2 linked regions of the Daphnia pulex genome follow. The protein of the gene in region 1 purifies or fractionates together with the protein of each later gene. This does not show direct contact. Links are inferred from orthologs where the notes say so. Each region holds a gene or a part of one and is shown in the gene's direction. Other genes may lie near its edges.

Region 1 (4,216 bases):
ATATGTATAGCCGAATAAATAGGAAAGGAGGTTGTGTCCGAATGGGCTGCGTGTGATGCGGATGGCGATTTTTCCCTCCCGTTTCTTCCATGTCTGGTGGATGGTCGGTCGGTCGGATCTCGGTTGGCGCGGGAGCGACGCGGCGGTGCTGCTGCTGGTGCGTGAACAGGTCAACGGACCGCCAGCCCCGCCGCCTTCTCTAGATTAACTCGAGTTAAATTATAGATATTCTCTTATATCTTCGCCTATCTAGCTAAGACACAAATGAAGTTCCTTCCGTCCTCCGCTAATCCCTCCTCTTCGTGAAAGATGAACGCGTTCAAAATAAATACCTAGAAAGAAATATTTTCATCGCGGGTCATCGTGATGATGATGATCATTGCCCCGGTCAATTCCAACTTCTTTTCGCTTTGCCTCCCATCCAAATCGATTCTCGGTGATGTTTTCTTTCACAATAATTGGCGTGTCTGTGCATAATAGCTGTGATGATCACGGCTGCGTGAATATTCGAGAATGAAAGCCATCAACTTTCGTTTCTTTTCTTTTTTAAAACGTTTAACTATGTTATACGATTCGATATTTCCTATCGCTCTTCTTTTCTTTTTATGATTTTATTATATGATCTTAATCATGTTCACGGTGTATTTTGCTGATGGGTCGTCAGATAAGAGCGCCAATAACTGTCGACTCCGCCACCACCGTCGCGCTGTCGTTGGCTGTCAACTCCAGTCATGTGAATCACCGTCGCCGTCGCAACACCCGGACTCTCATCGCAAGGCAGAAAGAATAAACCGTTAGCTTTTGGCAGATGTGAATTGTATGTGTGTGGCTTTTCCAGGAGAAAAACGAACCCGGTTGAGTTGGCACATCATCCTACTATATATATACTATTTGGATTTCATGGGCAACAGCACAAGAGTGCTGCTGCGAAATCGTTCGTCTTTTATACACCGCAGACTCTCTGACCAGCAGCCGATGAACGTTTCCAGCAGCATATTTATTAATCACATGGAGCCGGGCAGCGATGCTGCACATTATCAAATGACATCAGCTTCGTGCTGCACCAGATGCTGGCTAGTTTATACATTTTGATGAAGAATTGTTACTTGTAAATCAACTTGCGACTCAACCCTGCGACCGCGGGTGAAATCGAAGCGTGATGTTTGCGCGAATTAATAGATTGAATGTGTATGTTCATGTCGTTTGAACTTATATTTAATTTATTATCTTTTTTAAATACTGAAGGTGGACATTTAAAGCCCCAAAGCTTTTTTGTAGAATTATATCCGGAAAAGTATTTTTTTTTTTTGACGCCTCCTTAGTTCTGGTGCATATAGTTACCACCAGTCGTCTCTAGTTGTCGTTCTTTTATTTTGGCGGGTGGACATTTGTAGCCCAGCAGACGAAATTAGCAAATTTTTTGAAATAACAATTTTCTGTTTTTGTCTGAACTGAAGTTCTTATGAAAATTGTATCTTTTTCTAAGAGCGTGTTAAAACCCAAAATTTTCGCACGAAATGAACACAGTGAAGCCAGTTTCATCTGCTTGGGACTATCTGAAACAAACTTTGAACCTTGATGGAAAATGTCAAGTATGATTCTTTTTTTGTTACTTGTAGATTTGTTTCATTACTCTTGTTTCACGCTCACCGTTTGAATTTTTACATGCAGAAGGAATTAGACAGAACCGAAATTGAAGGATGTGCAGAATTCATTGTTAACCATGATTTGGTAGACTTCAGCAAGGAATTGGTTTGGCAGAAGCTGTTCAATGACACACGAAATAGGATAACCCCTAATTTTTGGTCCAGATTTGAAGTGACTCAGAATGAAAATTCTGGTTACGAAAACTATAGGGAGGCTGTTAAAGTTCTGAACACCGACATTAAAAGCCTTCAGCATTACTTTTCCTTGTTGGATCACCTGTCAGGAAATGTCACGCCAAAATCATTCGCCCAATATCAGGCACACCTCAGTGCAATTTTGCTGTCTCAGATACCACCAAAGTTTGAATGCTGTGTGAATTTCTTCTACAGCCGAGCTTTCAGAGCATTCATGTCTTTAGAAAAAAGGAATTTTAACTTTGGTATTATACTTGTTCTAAAGTAGGTTTATAATTGAATTTTTAATTTACATCTTTCTACTCAAGATGGAGATGAGTCTGGTGATGTTATCACTCACTGTTCAGGGTGTGACCAAGAAATTGATCAATGTGAATGTAATGTCATTCTAGACAATTGTCATAACACCAACAAGTAAAAAAAAAAAACATTTTTCTCTTTGATTATGTTTCAGCACATTTGATCATATTTATTTTTTTAGGGCTTTGGCTGAAATAGGAATACTTGAGAAACTATCTGTGGGGATGATTCACACTCTCATTTTGACTCAAATCCAATCACATGTCCAGGATTCATGTGTAGGAAACTTTTCCTCTTCTCAAATTGAAATGCTTGAAAAGGTATTTTATTAATGTGCTAATGGTCTTAATGGGCATTTGAATCACCCTGTTCGTTTCTTGTTCTGAACCATTTGCAGTGGTTGCAAAACATAATTTTTCGGTGGTTAGGTATCGTCTATGGAGAAGACTACATCCAACAGGATCAAGTGCGAAAAAATTTTACCCAATTCCTGTACCACGCCTATACACACGCTAGAATCGAACAGTTATTCGAGATCATTATCGGTTCGTCAATTCCAAATCATGTATTGTGTTCATTGTTTCATAATCTTTCTTGTAATAGGCTACCCCGAGAGCTTTCCTTCGGTAAAGGATTTACAGGAATGCCTTTCACGGACGCAGTTGAAACCAATTTTGGCGCAGTCTCTTAAAACGACTTTAGAAGCAAGATTGCTTCACCAGGGAGCCACAACAGAAGACATACTAATCGCCTACGTATCGGCCATAAGAGCGTTTAGCGTACTTGATCCCACTGGCGTGCTTCTCGATGTAGCGTGTGATCCGATCAAGTATTATTATTATTCAATTTCGATCCGTCACTTTTGGCTTATGATGTATTCAACTATTTCCAACAGGCAATATTTGCGACTTAGAGGAGACACTGTTCGGCATATAATTCACAGTTTGACTGACAGTAGCGGAGAGCTGGGCGGAGAGCTTGAGTTGGGAAGAACGGGAACTGCTATACTGGATGAAGAATCTGTTGCAGCAGTTGGAGATACCGAAGCCTCAACCGATTGGGAAAATTGGCTTCCAGCACCAAGCGATGCCGATCCTAGCAAACTTTGGACAGGAAAAAAGCCGGTAATTTCATCTTGTTAATAAAGATGTTTTTAAAATAGTTTCGGTTCTGTAAAACAAATTCTTATTTAAAAGGGCGATATTGTACCAATGTTGGTGAACATCTACGGCAGTAAAAGCCTGTTTGTCAAGGAATATCGCAAGCTTTTGTCGGATCGATTGCTCCTGAACCTTCATTTTGACACAGAAGAAGAGATTCGTAATTTAGAATTTCTCAAAATTCGATTTGGAGAAAACGAATTGCACAATTGCGAAGTGATGCTCAAGGACGTGGCAGACTCCAAGAGAATCAACACCCACCTACAGTCGGTCGTGCACAAACCTGAAGTACGTTTTTAATTCGTTTAGCGCATCGATAAATAAAAGTTAATTTTTTTTCTATTTATTTCCATCCAGTTTCCGATTTCGGCTATGATTATATCAGCTCAGTATTGGGACCAGCTGAAGGACAAACCGATGAAGTTGCCGATCAAAATCATCAACCAGCTCGAACAATATAATCAAAACTATAAAACGGTGAAAACGAGTCGTTCTCTGCATTGGGTACCTCAGTCGGGTTCTGTGGAACTGGAACTGGAGTTTGATAATCACCGTTGCGTGTCTTTCACCGTCCCGCCCGATTTGGCTGCCATCATATCTCATTTTGAAGACAAGGATCAATGGGATTTGGAAGAGCTTAGCCAGGAAATGGAATTACCAATGTCTCATCTTCGAAGGCGAGTTCACGTGTGGCAAACACACGGGGTCCTCCAGGAAATTTCTACTGATCGCTTCAAAGTGGATGAAAATGGACCAAATTTCACAGGACATAAGGTATATCTTAAAAAGTTATTACCGTTTCTCAAATGTATGTATTTTGCAATTACGTCCTTTTCGTAGATTCTTTTAGAAACGCTAGCGAAAATGGAGGAAGAAGAAGAAGATGACGACGAGGAAGATAGTGAGAAAAAAACG
Region 2 (4,184 bases), on another chromosome or scaffold:
CAGGAGCCACTGGGCTGAGCGGTGGAAGCGCGGCCGGAATGCAAAGTCCTCTTCAGCAATTGGCCCTCCTGCAGCAAATGACCAACTCCAACAACAACCCCATGTCCATAGCCTCCGAACTGGAGGCACAGAAACAGGAAAACTTCCATTTGCAGAACCAAAAACAACAGCAGGGTCTATTAGCTTCGGTTCACATCAAGCAAGACCAGATTGCAACAGCACAGGCAGCCATAACAAGTATGTATGCGTGTGACACACAAATGACAGTCGAATTCCGTTCACGCCATTAAGAACCGTTTGATCAGTTGATTGACCTCTATCTTGTTTTTCCTTCATTCTTGCATTTATAGATCAGAGTAATATGGTGAACGGCCACCAACCTGGTGCTGTGATGCAAGCGGCGCTCAATCCACAGTTGCAGCAACTTCAACAGAACCTGGAAGCGCAAAAGCAGCAGCTCTTGGTCCAGCAGCAGGTACTCCAGCAGCAGGTGAAACCGGAAGCTCAGCAATTTAACAAACAACAAATCCTGATGGCCCAGCTTCTGAACGAGCCTCCGGCTAAGCGTCCTCAGCTTTGGGAACAAATCAAGCAGACGGTGACGAAACAGGAAGCTGCCATGATGGTCAATCCGTTGGCCCAGCAAGGACAGTTGGGCTTCTCTCAGATGAGCCTGGCGCAGCAGCCGAGCAGAAGCCAACAGGAATTGCAACGATACCAGACGTTGATTCAACTCTTGGGTTTGGCCAATCTGGCCTCTTCAAGCAACCCCAACCGCCAAGGATACTACACCGATCCCAATAGATCAATGGTCGCCGGTGGTCTACCTTATTCATCGTTCGGGAGCAATGCGGCAATGAGCGTTCAGGCCGTACAAATGATGCATCAGCAGCAAATGCTCTTGCTTCAACGACAGCAACAAATGATGATGCTTCGACAGCAAATGGCGATGATGAATCCGTTCATGTTCTAACATCGTCCTCCCTTTAATAACTTTATTCTTATATTTATGTTCCCACACTTTGCTCCCTAAATTAAAGCGTCCACTTAATTTTATTTGCATCTCTCTTTCCTGTTTCTCGTCGAGGAAGGAATAAAATAAATATACATTGTTTTACGTTAGTAAAATATTGAATGTTGTTACTGAATGTTGAATTTGATTAGATAATAATTTAATTTTTTAAATAATTTTAACGAAATTAGTAGATTCAGCATTCAGTACGCTGGTGCGCCGGTAGGCCTACGCTGTTTGTTGTCTCTCCGTACCGATAATCCCGCACTTTACGCGTTTCCAACCCTTCTCTGCACTTTACCACTTTATATTGTGATTTTCTTATTGGTGACTGCTGATCAAGTTTGTGTTATAGTTTTTTTCTTCTCTTTGAGTATATATATTACTTTCAGAGTTAGTCATTATGATTCTTCACGAGCAAATTCAAATGTTGTTTGATAACAAACTTTATACAAATATTGTTGCTCTGGTAACTATATAGTTTCTTGTGCTTTCCGTGAATGTTATCGATAGCTAAATGTCACCATTGTATTGCAATGCTATAAATATTAACAAATGTTTTAGTTATATCATTTATATTTTTGTTTGGGCAGTAGTATCTACTCCTACAACTCATATTATTCCATTTTGAATAAGTGCTACTGGTGACTTTTACCTTGAGTATGACAATAGGAATGAGTTCAGTGTAGATTTCATTCTATTACCATAGACTACGAAGTAGTGTAGTCTATGCTAATTACCAATCTAATGAATATCTGGAATTTTTCTACAGGCTCCAATGGTTCTTTCAGCTACTGATAACAATCCTGAGCTTTTACCTCCTGCAAGCATTGCCCAAACAATGGTGTACCTTGCAGATTCATTCCTTGAACAAAAGGAATATGGAAAAGCAGAAGTTTATTACAGAAAAGCCCTAGATCTGAGAAAAACCCTTTCTAAACAAAGGGGGATGGGAAATAGTGCTGCCAAAGAGCTTTCAGCTGAAACAGGTTTGATGTTCTGTTTTAAAGTATAAACAAGTTTTTCCTAAATAAGTTTGAAATAACAATTCTAGAGATTCGCTATCAAATGCACATATGCCACCTTGCTTTAAAACAGTCAGTGCAAGCACTTCTTGTCCTTCAAGGGATCCCAGCCAAACTACGATCAGTTAGGGTTAATATGGCTTTAGGCAAGTTGTATGTTATGAATGGGCTTGAACGCCCAGCCATTTCTGCTTTTAAAGAGGTTATTCGTGAATGTCCTTTGGCCCTAGAAGCTATATTGGCTTTGATTAAACTTGGAGTTAGTTATGTTGAACTTGTTCGTTTAATTTTTAATGGAAACCCATCAAATAACTTAGATTGGTGAGTAGGCTCATATGTATAAAATGTAAATCTTTGTTGAATAATGTTTATTTTCGTTTTTTTCCCTTAAATTCTGAAGGGTTGTTCAGTGGATCAAAGGACAGTGCCATCTTCATTCTTGTGAATATTTGAGTGCTTCTACCATTTTTTGCCATTTGCAAGATGCATCATTGCTCAAAGATGATGTAACAAATTTGGTATCACAAGGAACAACCCTTTTCTTGGCCGGGGATGGAGCGGGCGCCCTTCTACCGCTTCAACGAGTATGTTAAATGATTTGAGAAAAAAAATATCTGGTGCTCATCTCATATTTGCGTTTGTTCAGGCGCATTCCCTCGATCCTTTGTCGCTAAAAGGAATGGATATTTTAGCAGTCATTTTAGCGAATGAAAAGAAAAGTGTTGAACTTGAAGCACTAGCTCTCAAGCTAATCTCTGTTTCTGATTCTAGCTTCGAATCGTGGGTAAAATTATTTGTTTTTTATTTCTAATTACCCTTGTTCCTGTATTAATTTTAATTTATCAAATTAGGTGGCCATGGGATACCATTATCTTTTGTCACGCAAACTAACTCGCGCTCTGTACCTTGCGCATAAAGTAAGATAGCAATGCCGATGTGGTCTTATTACAAATAGTTTTAAAAACCGCGCAAACATATTTCTCATAGGCTTGCACATGTTGCATTCCAACCCCTGGGATAGAGCCCCTAATCCTTAAGGGTACGATTTTACAAGAGCTTAAAAAATGGCCTGAAGCTATCACACATTTTAGGTAAGTCCTGTGATGTTTAAAAAAAAATTATTGAAATATATTTTTTAATTATTGAGATATTTTTTAAATTTTAGTAATATTTAAAAAAAAATTATAGTAATATTAACAACAAGTTTAACATGATAATAGGGAAGGATTACAGACAGCTCCGCACCGATTCGAAATCTATCGTGGTATAGTTCACTGTTATCTAGCGCTTCAGCGAAGTCGAGAAGCCATGAATATAGCTGCTAGCTCTCTTCATCATATTGGTCATACACCTCGCACTTTCACGGTTAGCATTCTTTACAGTGTTTCGTGTTAATCATTCGTTTAAAGCAGATTTTTATCAAATGAGCCATTAATTAAATTGCTGACTGCTCTTTGCAGCTCTACGCATCCGTCCTGTTGAAGGATCCTGTTACAACCGCAAAGGGCAAGGTTTTCCTTGAAAGAGCTTTGAACATGGGTAAAATTAACATGAATAGTTTCCGGTGTAAAAAAAAAATTGTATAACGTTTTCCGTTGTAGATCCTCGATACACTCCAGCTGTATTCCTTTTAATCGACTCGTATGAGCAGGTGAGTAGCTGTACAATCCTACAGAACCACTCACTGAACTACCATTGACTACAATTATTTTCAGGCTGGCCAGAGATCAAAAGCCATTGAACTGCTTACTAAGCAAATAAATCAGCAACCTACAAACAGGTTACATCATATTTTGGGAGACCTATTCATAAAAAATGGAGATATGGATAAAGCATTGGAACAGTACAATTCTGCACTAATGTACGAGAATCTTTATCACTTGATTTTACTTTAACTTGCATATTCACATACTATGCATGTGTTTAATTTTTTTCTTTGTAATTTTAGGCTTGAACCGAATAACGTAAAAACCATTGAGGCCATCAATAGGCTTGAAAACGCATTGGTAGCTAAACTAGAAAATCATCTGGATTTGGAAGCTGATGATCTTCCTGATTCTGATGAAGAGGTAAATTCAATTTAAAGTGAAAAACAAAATATATGCATATGTTAAAAGCTATCGTTTTCAAGCCAACCATTGAAGAAG

The links.
Region 2: the proteins of anaphase-promoting complex subunit 2-like (region 1) and anaphase-promoting complex subunit 7-like fractionate together in Homo sapiens (co-fractionation; 6 studies listed by BioGRID and IntAct, with this or other methods). This does not show direct contact. The link is inferred for Daphnia pulex from reciprocal best matches to the Homo sapiens genes ANAPC2 and ANAPC7.

Annotation. Positions count from the first base shown.
Region 1 is NC_060023.1:8,674,905-8,679,120, reverse strand, and holds the start of anaphase-promoting complex subunit 2-like, read left to right. Parts: upstream 1-1,405; 5' UTR 1,406-1,517; coding exon 1,518-1,592; intron 1,593-1,671; coding exon 1,672-2,086; intron 2,087-2,149; coding exon 2,150-2,255; intron 2,256-2,322; coding exon 2,323-2,461; intron 2,462-2,538; coding exon 2,539-2,686; intron 2,687-2,744; coding exon 2,745-2,970; intron 2,971-3,036; coding exon 3,037-3,265; intron 3,266-3,337; coding exon 3,338-3,589; intron 3,590-3,658; coding exon 3,659-4,075; intron 4,076-4,141; coding exon 4,142-4,216. UniProt on the Homo sapiens protein: Together with the RING-H2 protein ANAPC11, constitutes the catalytic component of the anaphase promoting complex/cyclosome (APC/C), a cell cycle-regulated E3 ubiquitin ligase that controls progression through mitosis and the G1 phase of the cell cycle.
Region 2 is NC_060017.1:4,025,494-4,029,677, forward strand, and holds the start of anaphase-promoting complex subunit 7-like, read left to right. Parts: upstream 1-1,238; 5' UTR 1,239-1,415; coding exon 1,416-1,481; intron 1,482-1,784; coding exon 1,785-2,001; intron 2,002-2,066; coding exon 2,067-2,358; intron 2,359-2,437; coding exon 2,438-2,621; intron 2,622-2,683; coding exon 2,684-2,821; intron 2,822-2,888; coding exon 2,889-2,954; intron 2,955-3,024; coding exon 3,025-3,128; intron 3,129-3,257; coding exon 3,258-3,402; intron 3,403-3,497; coding exon 3,498-3,576; intron 3,577-3,638; coding exon 3,639-3,688; intron 3,689-3,752; coding exon 3,753-3,898; intron 3,899-3,985; coding exon 3,986-4,106; intron 4,107-4,168; coding exon 4,169-4,184. Other genes in the region: myb-like protein K, read left to right, coding at 1-237, 351-973. UniProt on the Homo sapiens protein: Component of the anaphase promoting complex/cyclosome (APC/C), a cell cycle-regulated E3 ubiquitin ligase that controls progression through mitosis and the G1 phase of the cell cycle.